Kluyveromyces lactis: one gene and its partners. The main gene of each other region encodes a partner of the protein of the gene in region 5 in a complex. Links are inferred from orthologs where the notes say so. Each region holds a gene or a part of one and is shown on either strand. Other genes may lie near its edges.

Region 1 (2,156 bases), on a different chromosome or scaffold from region 5:
TATAATCGTTTTTAATGAGCGTAGTAAAGTTAGGTTGTTGTTCGAGGGTGTTCAATCTTTAATTAATCTGAAGGAAAACTATGTATATTAAGAATTCTTCAATGACATGAAATAAAGGTGCAAGTAAAAGGTATGAAAATGGTAGTAAAAAAGTGCCATTTGCTGCCCTTCTTATATAATACAAATGTTACTTTGGACACGCTAATAAACTCTTAACACCTTATAAGTATTTACCGTTGATGAATTACCAAGTTCCAGTTAATTAGTATGGTATTCTTCTGCTTTTTTCCCTAAATTTTTTTGTCGCATTTTATACTGCATCGTTGAAACGCTTCAGTGAACGCCGTAATAAATTAAAGAAACGGATACAAACCTTGACTGTTCGCTACTTACAAGTGAATGTTTTTTAGGGGTGGTCATCGTTATACGCATCCTTAAAAAAACGCATAGAACTTTAATTTTTCAATAGTTATAGGGACATTATACGCACCATAATGATAAACTGGTGACTATTATGGCAATACATTTGCCTGTTCTTGAACAAAGTGTCATACACTTACATCACACTTAATAGGGAGTGCCCAGTTAATTGGTTTAAATGACGCATGTGCATAATTTTTTTAACAAATTACTAGTGTGCATCCAACATACGCTAGGTGTCAATCCGTACATTCCATGGGTGAACGCAAATCAGGCCCTTTATTTAATTAACCTCATATGAAGCCTTTGGGACATCTTGGATCAGAATCTGGGGCCTCTATCGTACTTTCTATGGATTTGCTCAGTAAAAGTACCCTTAACCAAACGCTGGTAGTGCATTATTGTCATAACCCATCGACAGATCATCAAGTTTACATGACGTATGACATCTCATGAGGATGTGTTGACATAGCAATGTGAAAGAAACAGAATATAGTCGGAAAGAGGTTCTGTATTATTTACATTCGTCACCTTATAGCAGTGTTGGTACCAGTATCTTTTTCATTTGTGTGAGCATGTGGTGAATTGTCCTCCTACCTTCGAATACATACAGATTTGTTCACGTGACTGATGGTCTTTTGAAATTGGAAAAAAATAATCATGAACTGAAAACTCGAATAAAACTCAAAAGATATATTAGTGAATCTATGTTCTGCATCTGAAGGATCTCTCCACAGTTTCAAAATACACCCAACTTGTTTTCTAATCAGAGCTGGTACCCGCGGTCATAAAGATTTCTCTGAAGTAATGGTTGTTAAAGTTTTGAGACAAACTTCTATCGCAAGAAATGGTGTTGGCGCTTTTGTGCTTCCATGTAAAAAGATCACTTTGCAATACTGTAATTGGGGTGGTTCCTCACAGGGTTTGAGAGATTTCCTAACGTCTAACAGAATGATTCAATGGGCTGAAAAATATCCAACAATACAGTTCGAAATAGTAAGAAAGTCTGGCCATCCAGTTATAAAAGGTGACTATGTTAATGGCCGTAATAAAGCCATCTGCGTAAAAAATCTGAACATTGATAATGTAGAGAATAAGTTAAAACTAATCAGAGACGCATCTGGTGAGCAACTCCGTCACAGAACTAAGAACGACAATGTGGATACTTTGAACGATAGTGTGAGAGGTATCTGGTCTCCACTACATTTAAGCCCAGCCATCAGACACAAGGTTTGAATCGAAAAAATGACTTGTGAATGGTAATATCGAGATCATAGCTTAACTTGTACATATATATAGCAATATCCTCGATGAAGCCGATACCTAAGTAAACAACCTACGATGTTGAATATTACTACGCAATTAATAAAAAAGAAGATCTATACTAATTTTTCATTTACTATATTATATGATATTATCGTATATTATATATGCAAAGGGCTCCATTCAAGCTGATGCTTTGTATTCTCTAAGAACCACGGGAACAGAAGATGGTGGCAACGAACCAAATTCTGTAATGATCTTCTTGATGTAGTCAGGGGGTGTTAAATCGTACATTATATTGAAGATGTGCAAATTAGGTGATTTCTCCCACTCTGCTAGTATTGGTTTATCCTTGACATTCTTACCTTCGTCGGCAGTAGCATTATTGGTATTAGCACTGCCAGATTTATTATTTTGCTTAGAGCTATTCTCGACTTCCTTCTGCTGCGCTTCACGCTCTTTGATAAATTGCT
Region 2 (2,944 bases), on a different chromosome or scaffold from region 5:
GCTTCTGTCAATGCCTTAGAAAGGGCTAAAAGTACACCAGGTGTGGTGTACATCAGGCCTCCTATTGAGAACTATGCGACTTTGGATTTTGGTAAGTTTGAAGAAATATACCAAGTAGGCTACGCGTACGGTCATGACTTTTTACAACATCTGCAAGAGAAAAACGAATTACCGCCAATTGCGGGTACCACAACTTCTGCTTATGCCGACAAAGAAAACATGTTACAAAGACGGAACAGTATATAAAACGAATTAACAGGAAACGCTACCCACATTTGTCGATGGTGGACATGCAGGACATAAAATCAAAGCCATGGCAATTAACGTTATAGTTTCTAAGTAACTGTAAACCGAAAGTTAAAAAAAAATTGAATAAACTAAATATATACTATACAAATGTTAGCGATGGATGTATATTGGGGGCAAAATGAGGATAGCTCACATCGCACTCAATCAATAATGAGGACATGAAGTTATTTCTTCGAATTTCCCTTATTAAATGTTGAAAGAAGAAGAAGGATACTGGACAATCATTCATCTTCTGGTGTTGTTACAAGGGCCACAAGACCACCTCTAACGAAAATCATTTCCGAAAACCTTTCGGTCGTTTTCAAATCTCCTTCTACTAGTTCATAAATGGTTTCCTTTGAATCTGAAAGAACAATATTACAATGTGAGTCGAAAGCCTGAAGAGTACCCACTAATTCACGAGCATCACGTAATTTCACATATACTCGCTCGTCTAAATTCAATTTTAATAGATCCAGAGGCGTATCAGACATCTTTGCGGCGTAAAGTGTGTATGTCTTCTATATTTATGATGCAGTCGTATTCTTACAATAACCAATAATGCAATTGATAGAGGGTACAGCAGTTAGGTTGAATGGTTTCCTTTGTCAGTTTATCAAATGGAGTACCAGGTATAGTAGAGTAGTCGATATACAATCCAAGGCTTAGTTCCATTCACACTCCAGAGCATCCTCCATAACATACTTAATCACCAAATTATTGTTAACGTACTAATTGATAAAAAGTGTTGAAGTTTTGAATTTCGATGTCAATGGAAAGCTCTGAATTATAGAATAATCAGTTAAACCAGGGAAGGTACACGTTTCCAACCATCTTTGAATGATACTGTACCTGTTGAAAGATGGCCAGGATATGCGATGCTAGTTTATCATCTTATTGCACTATGCTTCACTAAGAGAGTCAATAGTCAACCTGATATTCACGTGACTATCACATGACAAAGGCCGGGCAACCTAATGACGGACCCCGAATCAACTCTGTTCGATCAAAAAATTTTTATAACATTTAAGCAGAGGAAAGCTGAATAGGAATTAAAACATGGATGAATCAGCTAGCTGTCGTGATATTGAAGTGTTCTACCTCGATTGAGTAGCTGCAGGACGTGTTTATTATAGCAGGGATATTATATTTTCAAAATGTTCCCAGCAAGAAGGGGATTGCATACTACTTCTAGAGCATGTGCCAGGACGAGATTCACCAAACCTAAACCCAAACCAGCCAAGAGAGAGAACGTTAGACTACCTACCCAGAGGACCCATCACGATAATGATTTAAAGATTACAGCTCCTATTCCACCGGCTGCTGCCAATTTGACATGTCCAGATGATCATCCTTTATGGCAATTTTTCTCCGAGAAGAAGTTTTTAAGAACGCCCGAGGAATTGGATACGCTTTCGAGACCTTGGACCATCCCAGAGTTGAGAAGAAAATCGTTCACTGACCTACATTCTTTGTGGTACACATGTTTGAAAGAACGTAACGTATTAGCACGTGAAAACCATTTGGTGCAGTTCAACTTTGAAGCACAAACCGAAGCATACCAAGATATCTCCGAAAAGATCAGAACGACAATGTGGAGAATAAGACACGTCCTTAGCGAACGAGACTGGGCATTCAAGATAGCGAATGAGAAATTTGCTGTTGAAAAACAAGTATTTATCGAATCATTCGAAAAAGACTTTTTAGAAGCTCCTGCTAACGAAGATGAAGAGATTTTCGAATCATTGCAACGTTTTCAATATGCCATATACGGTATCTCTGAGTACATCGATGAGAACAAAGTGGACAGAACATTTGTGGATGGATTGAAAGCGGTTGCAACATTGAAGTTAAAGAAATTTGCACTAAGAAACGAGGACATCAAGAACTTTTTAGAAGAATCTAACAATACAATTGTGGATGCAGGTGAATCCTTCCTTCTGTATACATCAGAAAACACAGAATCTGCCATCGCAGAAGCATGTCAAGCGGTAAGGGAGTTGAGAGAAAATGGCTCCTCTGTGTCTAGATACGATGAATTGGAAACTGTTCAAGAATATGTTAATAAATTAGCTGAGGCTCAAATGGCAAAGGTAACAGAAGCGGAAATACAGCTGCAAGAAGAAGATGCAAAAAACAACGCTAATACACTATGATATTAATGCCATCGAAGTGATTGTATAAAGAGATAAGTGTAACCGTCCATTTGGATGAACCCAGCCTTCCTGTACATATGTATACACCAACTTAAATAACGGAATATAAAACAAAAAATTTCCTTCGACAACACTTTAATTTGACGAATAAGAATTGTATTTAAAGAGAGTTTTATTTGCAGTCAATTAATTCAATAGACCTTTTTAGCCTTTTTTACCGCTCTCCGTAGCGGCCTCCCAGTAATGCTATACTCTATCGACATAGTATCTTCAATTTTAACCGTGGACAAAGAATCTTCCGTACTGATCTCTGCCTCGTCTTTGACTACAACTTTAAAGTCTTCTTCTTCTCCAGATGCATCATAGTCCAGTTTGCGTCTTTTCACTAATTTATCACTTGTACTTGCTCCAACTGTTTTCCCAATTTCTTGTGCGAAAAGGACACATTGTGCCCAGCCCGCGTATGGGCCCCATAGATCCTGGAGCTTCCTTCTGTACAT
Region 3 (2,075 bases), on a different chromosome or scaffold from region 5:
TTTCTCGTGGTACATCTTCTTTGGCGTTACAGTACGGAATAGAAGTGACCAACTTTATCACACACGTCAATGACCAATCAACACCTGATTTGGATACATTCTTGAAGGTTGTTAAAGAAATCCCAGATAATACATACTGCAAGTTACGCTTAATGACATTTGACGATGTTCCGTTTGCCATTTCCTTAAAGACAAACTATCACTACTTCCCAACGGTAGAATTAAGAAAGAATCCAAAAACAGGTAGTTGGATCGAGAATGATATCTCGGAGACTTAATTTGACTATATATATGATTAATCATTTTTTACCGTTGTTTGCAAATTGTATATAGGTATTTATTAATGATAATTATCCATTATAGTAACCCGCTGATTTTTCATGACATGCTTTACTGAAAATCATGGTAAGAAATGGTGTGTCATTCATTATGGGGATGCCATTGTTATATGTACAGGATTGAAATCGAAACGATATCTTATTTTAATTGCCTTTCATCTCTTAATGGTATGGAAGCAATCTCTTTAAACGATGCATATGTGTGGAGTCTGCTAATGACCTGCCAGATAATGATTTAAGGGAGTTCCTACTCCATCCAGCATTACCATGATTTCTTCCAGCCTTGCCCCTCTTGAAGCTATTGGCTGTTTTTCTCCATCTTTTTGCGGCACCTTTGTGTGTTTTCATCAAGTTTCTGGTGAGGATGAGCGATGAAACATTAGTTTTAGATCCCAGAAGTCCAGTTCTAGCGGAAAAGTTCATCATCGAACCAAAGATAGAAGATAGCATATTTGAAGTAGTTCGCTGGTGGGGTAAATCCTGCTATAGTCCGTTAACAATGAAGTACTTGAATTGTAGCTCACTTTCACTCAGTACCTTGCCATAATCTCACAAGAAACTTTTATTACATACACTTCTTTCAGAGAAAACAAAAAATGTCATTTATGTTGAAACGTATGTAGTGATATACTATCGAAGTGTTTAAAATTACAATTTGATTAAATTGTGAGATGGGGGAGATACATGTATATACAGAAAGACGTATTTGTTTCTAGCAAAATGGTAGAAGATGATGTTTTTGAACCAGGGGTATTTAGGAGCACATATTTTGCAATGAGCTGTTATTGAAAAGCGTTGTTCTCGTATTCTTGTTCTTCTGTGTTTCTTTTTGTCTTGTTTTTGTGAAGAATTGATAACTATTTCTTATTCTTCACGTTGTAATGTTGAGATCTTGTCGTTTACGATTAACACAGTTCACGCTGCTTACGAGTCATAAATAACTTGGGTGAAATGCTACAACTTTTTGTTTGTAAAATCATAACTTTCTTGGTAATTCATTCGTTTAGATGTTGCATGGTATGTTGCCATTATGGTCATTAAGGTGAGACAAAAACAATGAGCTATTGTAGCTTTACTCATATTGAAATGAATTAAATTCATTCGTGAATATCATGCTAATTTACGCGAGACCTTGAGCACGGTAGGCTGCAATAGCTTCGTCGATCTTACCCTTAATGAATGGATCAGCTCTGATCTTTTTCTGGACCTTGGTAGCCTCAGCGAAAGTAGTAGCTTGTAGTTTTTCATCGAAAGATCTTGAGAGATCGGCAGCATCTTCGAACAATTGAATGGCATCATCAATTTCTTCTTGTTGCAATTTTAGTTGAGCAAGACCGATCTTGGCTTGTTCGGATCTTGGATCGATCTTACAAGCTTCTTCAAATAATTCGGAAGCTTCAACGAAGTTTTCAACGGTTGGGTTTCTAATCAAAGCAGTGGCCTTACCAATCATTGGAGCAATACCGACGTGAATACCTGGTAAAGCATCTTCCAACTTGATGGCAATATCGTATTGCTTGATGGCAGCATCTAGAGAGTTCTTAGCAGCCAAAATTTCGGCATAAAAGTTTGGAACTTCTGGAGCAGTTGGGAACTTTCTTCTGGCTTCGCTGAACAAAGTTTCACAATCATCAAATCTATCGTCACGGAAAGCCAAGCAAGCACATTGGATGTAGGCAAAAATGTTTTCTGGATTTAATTCCTTAGCCTTATCGAAATCGGCACCAGCTTCTTTGA
Region 4 (2,312 bases), about 510 kb from region 5:
CACTAGCTTTGCTAATGAAGCATCCATTTTCACTAAGACTTTCTCACCGTTTGTGGAATCCTTTGGTCCCGCCTCGTCGTTATTCGTCAATAGACTGTTTAATAGAATATATTTGTAAAGAGAGTATATCGCCTCATGAAAGGTTCCTTTTGAGAATCCGACAATACATGATAGTTCTGGTGAATACTGTAAGAACTCCCCTGTATACCCTTTTGGTTGGATAGTGATGGTACAGTTAACGTTTTCAGTACCCTTACGTGAAACATCAACACCGTCAAACTCTACAGGAGTATTAGGATCCACATGCCATTCAAAAACGGTTTGCTCATTTTTTGGCTTTTTAGCACTAGGTTCCTGTGTCCCTTCTAATAAGGGGTCTCCCATTTCTTGATCAGTTTCATCATCTTGATCTTCCTCTACAGGTTTGAAATCTATCGCGACGCTTTCTATAAAGGAGGAAAATTTAGGCCTATTTGGATCGTCTGCCTTCCCATTATCTAACAGTCTACCTTCAATACGCAATGTCCATGATGCTTGATCAAGTTCCATGGTCTCATCGTTCGTCTGCCATGGCTGGTTCTCAGAAATATTAGAAATGAAAACACGAACAAACTGATTATTCGCAGGATCTGTGTATTTGGAATGAGTCCATTGAGTAATATTCTGATGCAAATCAATTTTTTTACGACTTAAATATATGTCAATTCTCTTCTCAGCCTCTTGTAACTTACTTAGCCCATCCAATTCTGGTATTAATTTCTTCAAATACGGTTGGATATACATGTCAGTTGGTTGTGCAACTGGCACAGTTTGTGCCTGTTGATGTTCAACCGTTGCTCCACTCTGTGCCGCAGACATTTGATTTTGATTTTTCTTTAATCTCAATCTAGCGGTAGCTTAGTTTATTCTACTAGGAGGTAAGCAGATGATATGTCTCATCTATACAAGTTGATGCATGTAAGTTAATGTACCAAAAGCTAGTGAATGCTTTGTTTAGGTTGATTGAATAATTCGAAAAACTGATGTTGAAACAACGAAAGCACCCATACACCCATACACCCATACAATACTTTATAGCGAATCGTATTAGGTTAGATTGTATCCATTACGCAGTTCATTTATAAATAAGTATTTCAAAGGTTACAAACACGGAGTAGTACAGTATGAACGGCTGTCACTCGCTAAACCAATCTTTTATCTTCTTTTTATGTACACATCTTTTAACTAGGCTGGCACTTAGATATGATTTTAAAGCTTCAAAAATTTTTGATAGTTTAAAATCACATTAGAACAAGATCAATCTAAAAGTTAACCATAAGCAGGGAATTAAAAATAGCGTCAATTGTGTTTGAAGTGCTATTCCAATAACTGCACACGCTCCAAGGGCTTTTAAAATATTACAGCAAAATGTTCAGACCGACATCATCGTGTCTTTCTGCCTTAACCAAACGTACAAAGAGAGTACAGGTACAGTTATTAAAAGATTTTCCTCAGTTCCAATTTCATACCGGCGAGGTGGTAAATGTCAAGCCCTCACTAATGAGAAACTTCTTGCACAACTATAATGGAGCCCGCTACATTCTAAAGGAAACTGATATTGACCAAGCCCTGTTGACCTCAGCTAAGAGATCACGTGCATCAGCAGCAGCTTTATTAAAAACAACCGAATCAACGGTGAAGAAGACTGAACAGAACGTAAAGAAGGCTAAGCAGGTATCCAAGGAAGAAAATAAGACACCAGAAACTCCTAAGTCAGCATTAAACGAAGAAATAACTATCGAGAATGTGAAGATTCCAGGATTAGACTTATGATAGTAAATGTTTTATCTTTTTTTTCCTCCTTACGCGGATCATTTGAGATACCAATGTCTTACAAAATAATAATGATCATGGATGTTGTTCGTGACGTCTCGTCCCCATTGCGGTTCAGAGGCACATTCATACACTTGTACATAAATTACATTAAAATAACTTGCGAAAACAATAAAGAAAGTTCGTTGCATCCAATCGCTACCAGTTGAAGTAATAACGTGGACAGTAGATCTGGATGATTCATACTAAATGGGGATTGACAAGAGAGTTATTACTACAGGAACGCTCATCACCTGGACGAGCATATTTCTCTTGATCAGCTTTAACTGTTGCTTTGGAAATAAAGAGACGAGAATGAGAAACAACCCCAATAGTGATGAACTTTCTAAATTCTCATTTTCTGTTTGTTTCTCAGACGTCTTTCTCTCTTTTCTCTTTTCTTCAACTCCATTTTATCAAGTTCTTGGTCGGTCAACTTGTCTCTCATATCCTTTCTCTTT
Region 5 (2,243 bases):
TGGTGATGATGTCAAGCCGAAATTTAAAATGGATCCCTTGGAACCATTTGTCGCCAAAGCTTTACCGAGAGAGAAGAAGAAGCGACCAAAGGAGAAAAGGAAGAGCAAATTTTGGTTTTGGGGATCCCTTACCCATCATACTGACGAAGGAAACCACAGAGACAAAGCTAGGTCGCCAGAGCTTGAAGATTATAAAATTGGTGTTGTATCACCGAATTCGCGGTCCCCCACGTTATCGATTCCTTTCTCTGATCCCGATAACACTCAGACTATTACCAATAACGCAGTATCGGACAACATTAACCATCACCTGTCGCTAATAGACCTCGACGATGACGAGGAACACTTAAAGTGTTCAACGCCACCGTTAATACTGTGATACGTACTTTTTTTAGGCCTAATATATTTATTTCTCATCCTATTTAAATATCATCTACATTAGCACTGTAACTATATACCTTTTTTTGAGCCGGCGTTATTATAACTTGTTCTCTGCGTACCGGGGTAGCCACGATTGCCTCTGGTATGTGGTTGGTGCTCATATGACCCACTTGATTGCAATTTTCTGCTTGCTCCTCTCGTAGTGCCTTGTCTTCCTTAAGAACATCTGTATACGTTGGAGGATCCTCTGGCAAGGAACTTTTCTTCTCATCAGGATATTGCTTCTGATCGTCTTGAGACATCTTTCCGTAAGTTTGAGTTTAACTGTTTACGACTCCGAATGTTGGTCCAAGGGAAATCTCAACTCTTCGAACAGCGTCGGTTCTGATTGCCATTAAAATATATTGTCGTTTCTATACATTATAAATGGTTCAAACAGGGTCCTTGATGTGCAGATTTCCCTTTAAAACCTTACAAATGGCGTAATGCTATATCATCATATATCAGATGTAAAGATGAAAAGAAGGAAAATATGATATCTAAGGTATTCCAGGCTTTGTTAGATTCAATTTTTCATTATGTGAGGTGGCATAGCAGGTAATCAAGACAAGTCGGAAGTTAATCACCTACCAGCTAGTCGAAGGGCAGCTACTCCCTGTGTACTTGAACCTTTTTAGGTCACGTGCAAAAGAGTTTAGCAGTCAAAATAATCAACAGTTCCGGGTAACAGACATTTGTTTGTTCAACATCAGTAACTTTGAAAAATTTTGAAGATTCGATGAGGTTTCAGTGAGTTTATTGTTAGCTTTGACAATAAATTGAATGACGATTAAATACGGGTTGATTTTCTGCGATAAGTTCGTGTGATAGCATACAGCTTCTCAGCCAACCGAAAGGATCATTAATACTCCATCCACTATGCTAGCGAGTGCAGCATCTCGTAAGAATGCCTTGAAGGTAGTGCAACCCTCTTTGAACTTTGTTCGTGGGAAAAGAACTAAATCGAAAGGTGGATTAAATCCTCAAGCGCAAAGAATCATTACACAACTCTCTGTTATGTCTGCTAGCAGGAAACAGCCAAAACTTTTAAAACTTTCCCGTGAAGATTTGATCAAACATGATATGATTCAAGCTTGTTGGGCGCAATATCAAAGGGAACTGAGGGAAAAGAGAACAAATCTCTTGAAACTACAGTACGAGAATATAGAAGAAGCTATGAACTTATTAGAACAGGTAGATCCCGAACTATATGAAATGGCTAACGCTGAAGAATCAGGTAAGAGGGTCCCATTGGAACTAAGGGTACCTACTCAATACCCACCGAACAATGTGTGGTATTATGATTACAAGAAAAAGGATTGAATAGTTCGTTTCCAGGCATAATGCATTAAAGGTAGAGCACGAATCATATTTCACATTATCTCTTCTAGGACACTTTTTTATCGGTACACCAAACGTGGGTTGCTCGAGAAACAACTTGTGTGATCTACAGGCAAGACCAAGTGCCACGCAATAAAATATAATGGAGATGTTGCATTATATATTGTAATGAAAGAGTTAGATAGAAGAAATGTAAACAAACCATGTAAATAAGCAATTCTACGAAATGATTATCGGCAGAATGAAGCTCTTAAGCTTTTCAAAGGGGACTTTAACCGTATTCCAAAGTGACAGTGTACTTCAGAAAAAAACATGGCTTCTGTGTATACATCGGTTCGAATATGAATAATGGTCTTGTTTACAAATAGCATTATTCATTTGACTTAGATGATTTTAGCTTGAATGGGTACATGGTTAGCAAAATGGCATCACCATACATATTTTCTCCAGAATGATTTGCCTGCGGTGTTTTCAACGTTTGG
Region 6 (2,284 bases), on a different chromosome or scaffold from region 5:
AGATCGTCTAAATCATATGGATAGATTCTGAAATTGTACTTTTTAAATTCTTCTTGTAAGATGTTTCTGAAGTTAGCTCTCTCATTCAACGTCAAAGTATCAGCTTTAGCGATCACCGGGATAACATTAGCGATTTCTGTCAATCTCTTCAAAGCAGCAACGTCAAGTTCTGTTAGACCCTTACCGTTAGGTTGGATGAAATATAACACTGCATGTACTCGAGTGTCTACAATGTGTCTTTCACGTTGAGCAGTCAACTCTTTACGTAAATATTGAGAGTGTTGCTCCTTGATGTACTTGACAATAGGTTCCCAAACTTTGTCGTTATTTATCTGGTCACCAAAACCTGGAGTGTCAATCACGTTCACGTTCAAACGTACACGGTCTTCCAATAAAGAATGTGTTGAAACCTTGATCTCGGTGGTCTTACTAATTGGTTCCTGAGTGATGTCCTTACCAGTAGAAGAATCAACCAAGTGAGATGCAAACAAAGTGTTGATCAAAGTACTCTTACCCAGACCAGAATGTCCAACGACCATAACGTTGAATTGAAATCCTCTCTTCAACAAACGATGTTCAATCTGTGAAGTAATCGAATCAAACCCAACATAAGAAGATGGATTTACCAAAGCCAACCCATCAGAAGAAGAAGTCATACCAGCTGCAGCAGTACTAGATGCCATTGTTTTTGTTTATGCGTGTATTTTACCTTTAATAATTCCTTTCGCGTAGTAGAGATGTATATAAGTCAAATCCAAATGATCAAAGCTTTACGTGTTTTAGTGTTTGGAAGTTAAAATAATGAAAAACCTCTAAGTTATAAAAACAATTAACCGCAATAACAAAAATTCAAACAATGAGTAGCAATTAACCACAGAAACGTCAAAAAAAAGTAATCACAATCTTACTTATTCTAAAGAATACAAGATCTGATTCCTTACTTATATTTTGTTGACACACTTATTTCGTTTCGAGTTCCATTTTTAGTTTTTGTGATTTTTCGTCTTTTTCATCGAAATCGAAAAAGGGACACAGATCATCACCAAATCAGGGTAATGTTGAAAATTCTTTCTTATAATCCAATTCGTCAATACCAATTTGAATTGACGAAGTTCAAACAGAGTTAGACGAGCGACCTAGAGAAACTAGTATCTGTCCCTATCGATTGAACTTATCCTTTCTCCTCTTCATCATAGTATCATACCAGCAGCGAAAATAATTAGAGGATGTCTTTTGGAGCTGTAACGGAATCTTTTAGCAGAGTGTTGCTGGAAACAGCGACATCAATATTGCCTCGTTGGAGCACTCCAGCAGCTGGTACTGCATTGCCACAGAAACTGCTGGAATTGCTTGAAAGAAACCAACGTGAAAAGTCTTCACCTCAAGCGGATTACTTTACGAATAACGGGATCCTTCTAGCTGTGCCCAAGAAGAAAGTGTCGCATCAGAAGAAGAGACAAAAGTTATATGCGCCTGGAGACAAACAGCTGAAAATGATCAACCATTTGAACAAATGCCCTTCATGTGGGCATTACAAGAAGGCACATACGCTATGTATGCATTGTGTGGGTGAAATCCGTCACATCTGGAAGGCTCACACTAACGTTGAACAAGTGGAGCCTATTCAAGAACAAGAGTTGTCTGAATTGGACAAGCGTATCTTGTATCCTGGTAGAAAAGAAACTGAATACACAAAGAAACTGAAGGACAAGGATGCTTATTTGGAGAGACGTATGAAAACTCTGCCAGTGGAGAGATCTGAGAAGAAAGAAGGATCACATTAAACCCTCTTCTCATTGAATCCAGTACAAAATAACACATCGGCGGAAATGACTAAAAAAAAACAACCTTTTATCAAGTTCAATCCCCCCATCACCTTGTATATATATGTCGAATACACGTCCCAGATTTTAGCAGGTTATTTCAGTGTCAGCATTCACCTCCTGTAGTAATAGTTAGATTCATTATCTCATCACAATCAACTCTACATAGAATCAAATCACATACAAAAATTTTCCTAGAGCAGGCTTGATGCCAGGCCTAAAGGCGTGAAAATCAGTCGAGAAAAGATCAGATTGAAAAGAAAAAAATCATGAGTGAAAAGATTTGAAGTAGCGATGAGATGAGATGAGGTGCGAATACACGATACAGGATTAAGCAGGACCTGAAAACTGGCATCAGTTTAACAGTTTGGTCTGATATTGGTTGTTTTGTTTTGTTTCACTTTAAATTGACAATAAGGCTGACAATTTTCCATACAGTATGACAACGACACGACAGTTCA
Region 7 (2,602 bases), on a different chromosome or scaffold from region 5:
GATGATTACCCGGAGGAGTGTTTGGGAGGGTATGGGAAGTGAATGGAAACCATGAGATGCCTAGCCTGGGGTCTAAGTGGGCAGTCCAGCGGCCAGTTTGGTGGAATGTCCAGGCCCAGACCGGGCAGTCCAGCTTAGGGAGGAAACGGGACAGGCCCTGCCCAGCTCGAAGCAAGCAACGAAGACGGATGGGATGTGTCTGTGCATCCTACCGTCAGCTCAGCGGATTTGGTGGACATGAGAAAATAATTTCCTAGTATGGAAACATTCTCATTTTCAGCAGAAATTGAGTATGTATGGGTGCAACAGTCAATAATGTCTGGGTGCAACAGTCACATGCACACCGTTCAATTCAATTGAACAGTGGGTGATTAACTCTTGCATCGGTCAGTCGGACAACTAACGCATAGTCTTCAAGCATCCTCCCAGCTCATGGTAGAATCTATTTTCTCATTGTTTACAAGCTTTTATATAAAATTGGAACAAAATCTATTCAGTTCTCATACAGTAATCGTACTCAAATCGAAATTCAAGGCCTTTAATCTCGATACGATGTCTGCCACGTCACGGGTAGCAAATTGGTCCATGAATTTCTTAAACGATAGATCTAATCCATCCGCTTTGTGTTCCATCTTTTCCAATGGGAAAAGGGTATGCAATAGTTTACGCTTACCAGCAGTAATTCTCAATGGTTCTCCATCGACAACAACTTTGTACAATACGGTGACTTCGTTGCCATTGGCATCTGTGACAGTCTCAGCGTCCTTATGTACAGGATTGGCAGCTTTTTCCTTAGAGTTCAGTAGTCTGTAACGGAGTTTCCAACCAGTAGGTCCCAATTCCTTAATTCTGGCGGCCTTTTCCTTAGTCAAATAGTTGTCAATACCACCTTCCTTGGTAATTGTTCTTAAAACTTTTGCTGTCATCTTAATACTAATCTTTCTGTTCAAAGTCTCACTCCATAGTCCTTTTCTAATAACGTTTGGACTCCATGATCTCCTGGTTTTTGTCTTCGATTCAGCGATGTTATTACCGAATTGGATGAAAGACGCACCGTATAAACCTTTGTTACTCTGTTTGTAAATTGGAGATTCTCCGTATGGATAATCAGGGAATTCCTTCTTCTCCTTTGGGATATATAATGGCTTGCTGTCGCCGACTTGATACGTCTTTGGAGTTGGGATCTGTCTGCTTTCAACTAATCTCCATTCTCTGAGGAGGTGGCTAAGAGTGGAAAACCCTCTTTGGGAACTTGGAAAAAACTTCATTCCAGATGAACGATCTCCGTGCTTATTGGTGAACGTACAGAGACTCTTAGACCAACTAGCTTCATACTAGGTTCAAGCTCCTTCTCTTCACCTTAGTGCATGTATCAAGTCGTTATTTTCTAAAATTTTGAATAAGCTTTGGAAAGATCAAAACCGTATACAGCGAGAATGGTAAAGCATAAGGAAATTTATGATTAGAATACACCTCTGCGTAATGGTTGGCGGTATCATGTATGTATGAAGGGTATGTATATATGTACGGCTGGATGGATATTGTGAATGAGGTCCCTGTTGCAATTTTTCTCATTTCTTCCATGGTGATTTGAAAGCCCAATTCCCGAGACGATTTCCCTTTGGATTGGTGGCATCTTTGGTCCAAGTCTTACCTGTGCGTAATTCATAGTTCTCTTTTTCTAATTCGTCAAGGCGTGTTCTGAGCTCTTGATTTTCGTCCATAACTTCCAGATTTCTTTCCATTGTTCTATTCAAATCTGCTTTCAAATCTGTGGGAATTTCAGCATCTGGATTAGGTAACGTTTGTTTATAAAGTTCACGTTCCAGTTGTTTCTTCAAATCTTCTATCTCTAGTAATAAATCCTTATTTTCGTCCTGAAGAGTTTCCATCCGAAGTCTGTTTTCAATTAGTTCATTGGCAATAGTGATATGCTCTCTGTTTAATAGCGAATAGTCATTTTCTAATTTCTTCAACTCTTTTTGAAGCTGTCTGTTTTTAATTCTTTGTTCCTCATATTGTTGTTCCTTTTCCGTTTCCAACTTGTGAATCTCATCGTACTCTTTCACGTAACGCTCCAATTGCAATGGAGTTAATTTGATTTCCAACGAATCAGAGATGAATCTATCAATATCGTACTCTTCTGGGTTCTCCTTAGAAGCATAGTGTTGGAAAAGGTCCTCCTTCAAGAAGTCTAAGAGAGAATCGAAACTGAGAATGATCAAATTACGACTGTTCTTTAACATCAACGTTAAACTGAATTTTAGCATCGATTCGATACCTTCAAGTATGACAATATCCATGATTCTGAGAACGAATTCAAGGGGAAATTTGTATGCGAACATCGTCAGGAACCATTGAGTTGCAAACATTGTAGATCTTATTCCCTGCCTGATCAAATGGTTATACAATTGAGGATCATTTTCCTCCAAAAGTGTATCAAATTGGTACAATTTCAACATCAGGCCAGGCATTCCCGGCAAGAATAAATCCCTTAATCCGTATACTTTCATGAGTTTCGTTAATAGAGAAAACGCTTGCCATTCTTCTTCACAGTTCAATATTAAAGTAGTAGCAATAAAACCCATGCCCTGTGTGTAAC

The links.
Region 1: MRPL28 (region 5) and MRPL51 share a complex: the UniProt entries of both Saccharomyces cerevisiae proteins name them as parts of the mitochondrial large ribosomal subunit. The link is inferred for Kluyveromyces lactis from reciprocal best matches to the Saccharomyces cerevisiae genes MRPL28 and MRPL51.
Region 2: MRPL28 (region 5) and MRPL4 share a complex: the UniProt entries of both Saccharomyces cerevisiae proteins name them as parts of the mitochondrial large ribosomal subunit. The link is inferred for Kluyveromyces lactis from reciprocal best matches to the Saccharomyces cerevisiae genes MRPL28 and MRPL4.
Region 3: MRPL28 (region 5) and MRP35 share a complex: the UniProt entries of both Saccharomyces cerevisiae proteins name them as parts of the mitochondrial large ribosomal subunit. The link is inferred for Kluyveromyces lactis from reciprocal best matches to the Saccharomyces cerevisiae genes MRPL28 and MRP35.
Region 4: MRPL28 (region 5) and MRPL50 share a complex: the UniProt entries of both Saccharomyces cerevisiae proteins name them as parts of the mitochondrial large ribosomal subunit. The link is inferred for Kluyveromyces lactis from reciprocal best matches to the Saccharomyces cerevisiae genes MRPL28 and MRPL50.
Region 6: MRPL28 (region 5) and MRPL32 share a complex: the UniProt entries of both Saccharomyces cerevisiae proteins name them as parts of the mitochondrial large ribosomal subunit. The link is inferred for Kluyveromyces lactis from reciprocal best matches to the Saccharomyces cerevisiae genes MRPL28 and MRPL32.
Region 7: MRPL28 (region 5) and MRPL24 share a complex: the UniProt entries of both Saccharomyces cerevisiae proteins name them as parts of the mitochondrial large ribosomal subunit. The link is inferred for Kluyveromyces lactis from reciprocal best matches to the Saccharomyces cerevisiae genes MRPL28 and MRPL24.

The regions. Positions count from the first base shown.
Region 1 is NC_006042.1:776,644-778,799, reverse strand, and holds MRPL51 (mitochondrial 54S ribosomal protein mL43), read left to right. Parts: upstream 1-1,227; coding exon 1,228-1,656; downstream 1,657-2,156. Other genes in the region: GCD2 (translation initiation factor eIF2B subunit delta), read right to left, coding at 1,867-2,156. UniProt on the Saccharomyces cerevisiae protein: Component of the mitochondrial ribosome (mitoribosome), a dedicated translation machinery responsible for the synthesis of mitochondrial genome-encoded proteins, including at least some of the essential transmembrane subunits of the mitochondrial respiratory chain.
Region 2 is NC_006038.1:467,767-470,710, reverse strand, and holds MRPL4 (mitochondrial 54S ribosomal protein uL29m), read left to right. Parts: upstream 1-1,445; coding exon 1,446-2,444; downstream 2,445-2,944. Other genes in the region: NTE1 (lysophospholipase), read left to right, coding at 1-246; U4/U6-U5 snRNP complex subunit LSM3, read right to left, coding at 531-782; 8-oxoguanine glycosylase OGG1, read right to left, coding at 2,636-2,944. UniProt on the Saccharomyces cerevisiae protein: Component of the mitochondrial ribosome (mitoribosome), a dedicated translation machinery responsible for the synthesis of mitochondrial genome-encoded proteins, including at least some of the essential transmembrane subunits of the mitochondrial respiratory chain.
Region 3 is NC_006042.1:2,241,652-2,243,726, reverse strand, and holds MRP35 (mitochondrial 54S ribosomal protein bL35m), read right to left. Parts: upstream 789-2,075; coding exon 501-788; downstream 1-500. Other genes in the region: NMA111 (Nma111p), read left to right, coding at 1-278; protein channel TOM70, read right to left, coding at 1,459-2,075. UniProt on the Saccharomyces cerevisiae protein: Component of the mitochondrial ribosome (mitoribosome), a dedicated translation machinery responsible for the synthesis of mitochondrial genome-encoded proteins, including at least some of the essential transmembrane subunits of the mitochondrial respiratory chain.
Region 4 is NC_006039.1:791,672-793,983, forward strand, and holds MRPL50 (mitochondrial 54S ribosomal protein bL9m MRPL50), read left to right. Parts: upstream 1-1,407; coding exon 1,408-1,812; downstream 1,813-2,312. Other genes in the region: RSC6 (Rsc6p), read right to left, coding at 1-858; KLLA0_C09086g (uncharacterized protein), read right to left, coding at 2,198-2,312. UniProt on the Saccharomyces cerevisiae protein: Component of the mitochondrial ribosome (mitoribosome), a dedicated translation machinery responsible for the synthesis of mitochondrial genome-encoded proteins, including at least some of the essential transmembrane subunits of the mitochondrial respiratory chain.
Region 5 is NC_006039.1:1,299,898-1,302,140, forward strand, and holds MRPL28 (mitochondrial 54S ribosomal protein mL40), read left to right. Parts: upstream 1-1,299; coding exon 1,300-1,743; downstream 1,744-2,243. Other genes in the region: LFT1 (Lft1p), read left to right, coding at 1-379; KLLA0_C14916g (uncharacterized protein), read right to left, coding at 423-683; KLLA0_C14949g (MFS transporter), read right to left, coding at 2,190-2,243. UniProt on the Saccharomyces cerevisiae protein: Component of the mitochondrial ribosome (mitoribosome), a dedicated translation machinery responsible for the synthesis of mitochondrial genome-encoded proteins, including at least some of the essential transmembrane subunits of the mitochondrial respiratory chain.
Region 6 is NC_006042.1:1,182,630-1,184,913, reverse strand, and holds MRPL32 (mitochondrial 54S ribosomal protein bL32m), read left to right. Parts: upstream 1-1,226; coding exon 1,227-1,784; downstream 1,785-2,284. Other genes in the region: septin CDC10, read right to left, coding at 1-683; KLLA0_F12804g (uncharacterized protein), read left to right, coding at 2,263-2,284. UniProt on the Saccharomyces cerevisiae protein: Component of the mitochondrial ribosome (mitoribosome), a dedicated translation machinery responsible for the synthesis of mitochondrial genome-encoded proteins, including at least some of the essential transmembrane subunits of the mitochondrial respiratory chain.
Region 7 is NC_006040.1:1,064,461-1,067,062, forward strand, and holds MRPL24 (mitochondrial 54S ribosomal protein bL28m), read right to left. Parts: upstream 1,269-2,602; coding exon 501-1,268; downstream 1-500. Other genes in the region: KLLA0_D12584g (uncharacterized protein), read right to left, coding at 1,572-2,602. UniProt on the Saccharomyces cerevisiae protein: Component of the mitochondrial ribosome (mitoribosome), a dedicated translation machinery responsible for the synthesis of mitochondrial genome-encoded proteins, including at least some of the essential transmembrane subunits of the mitochondrial respiratory chain.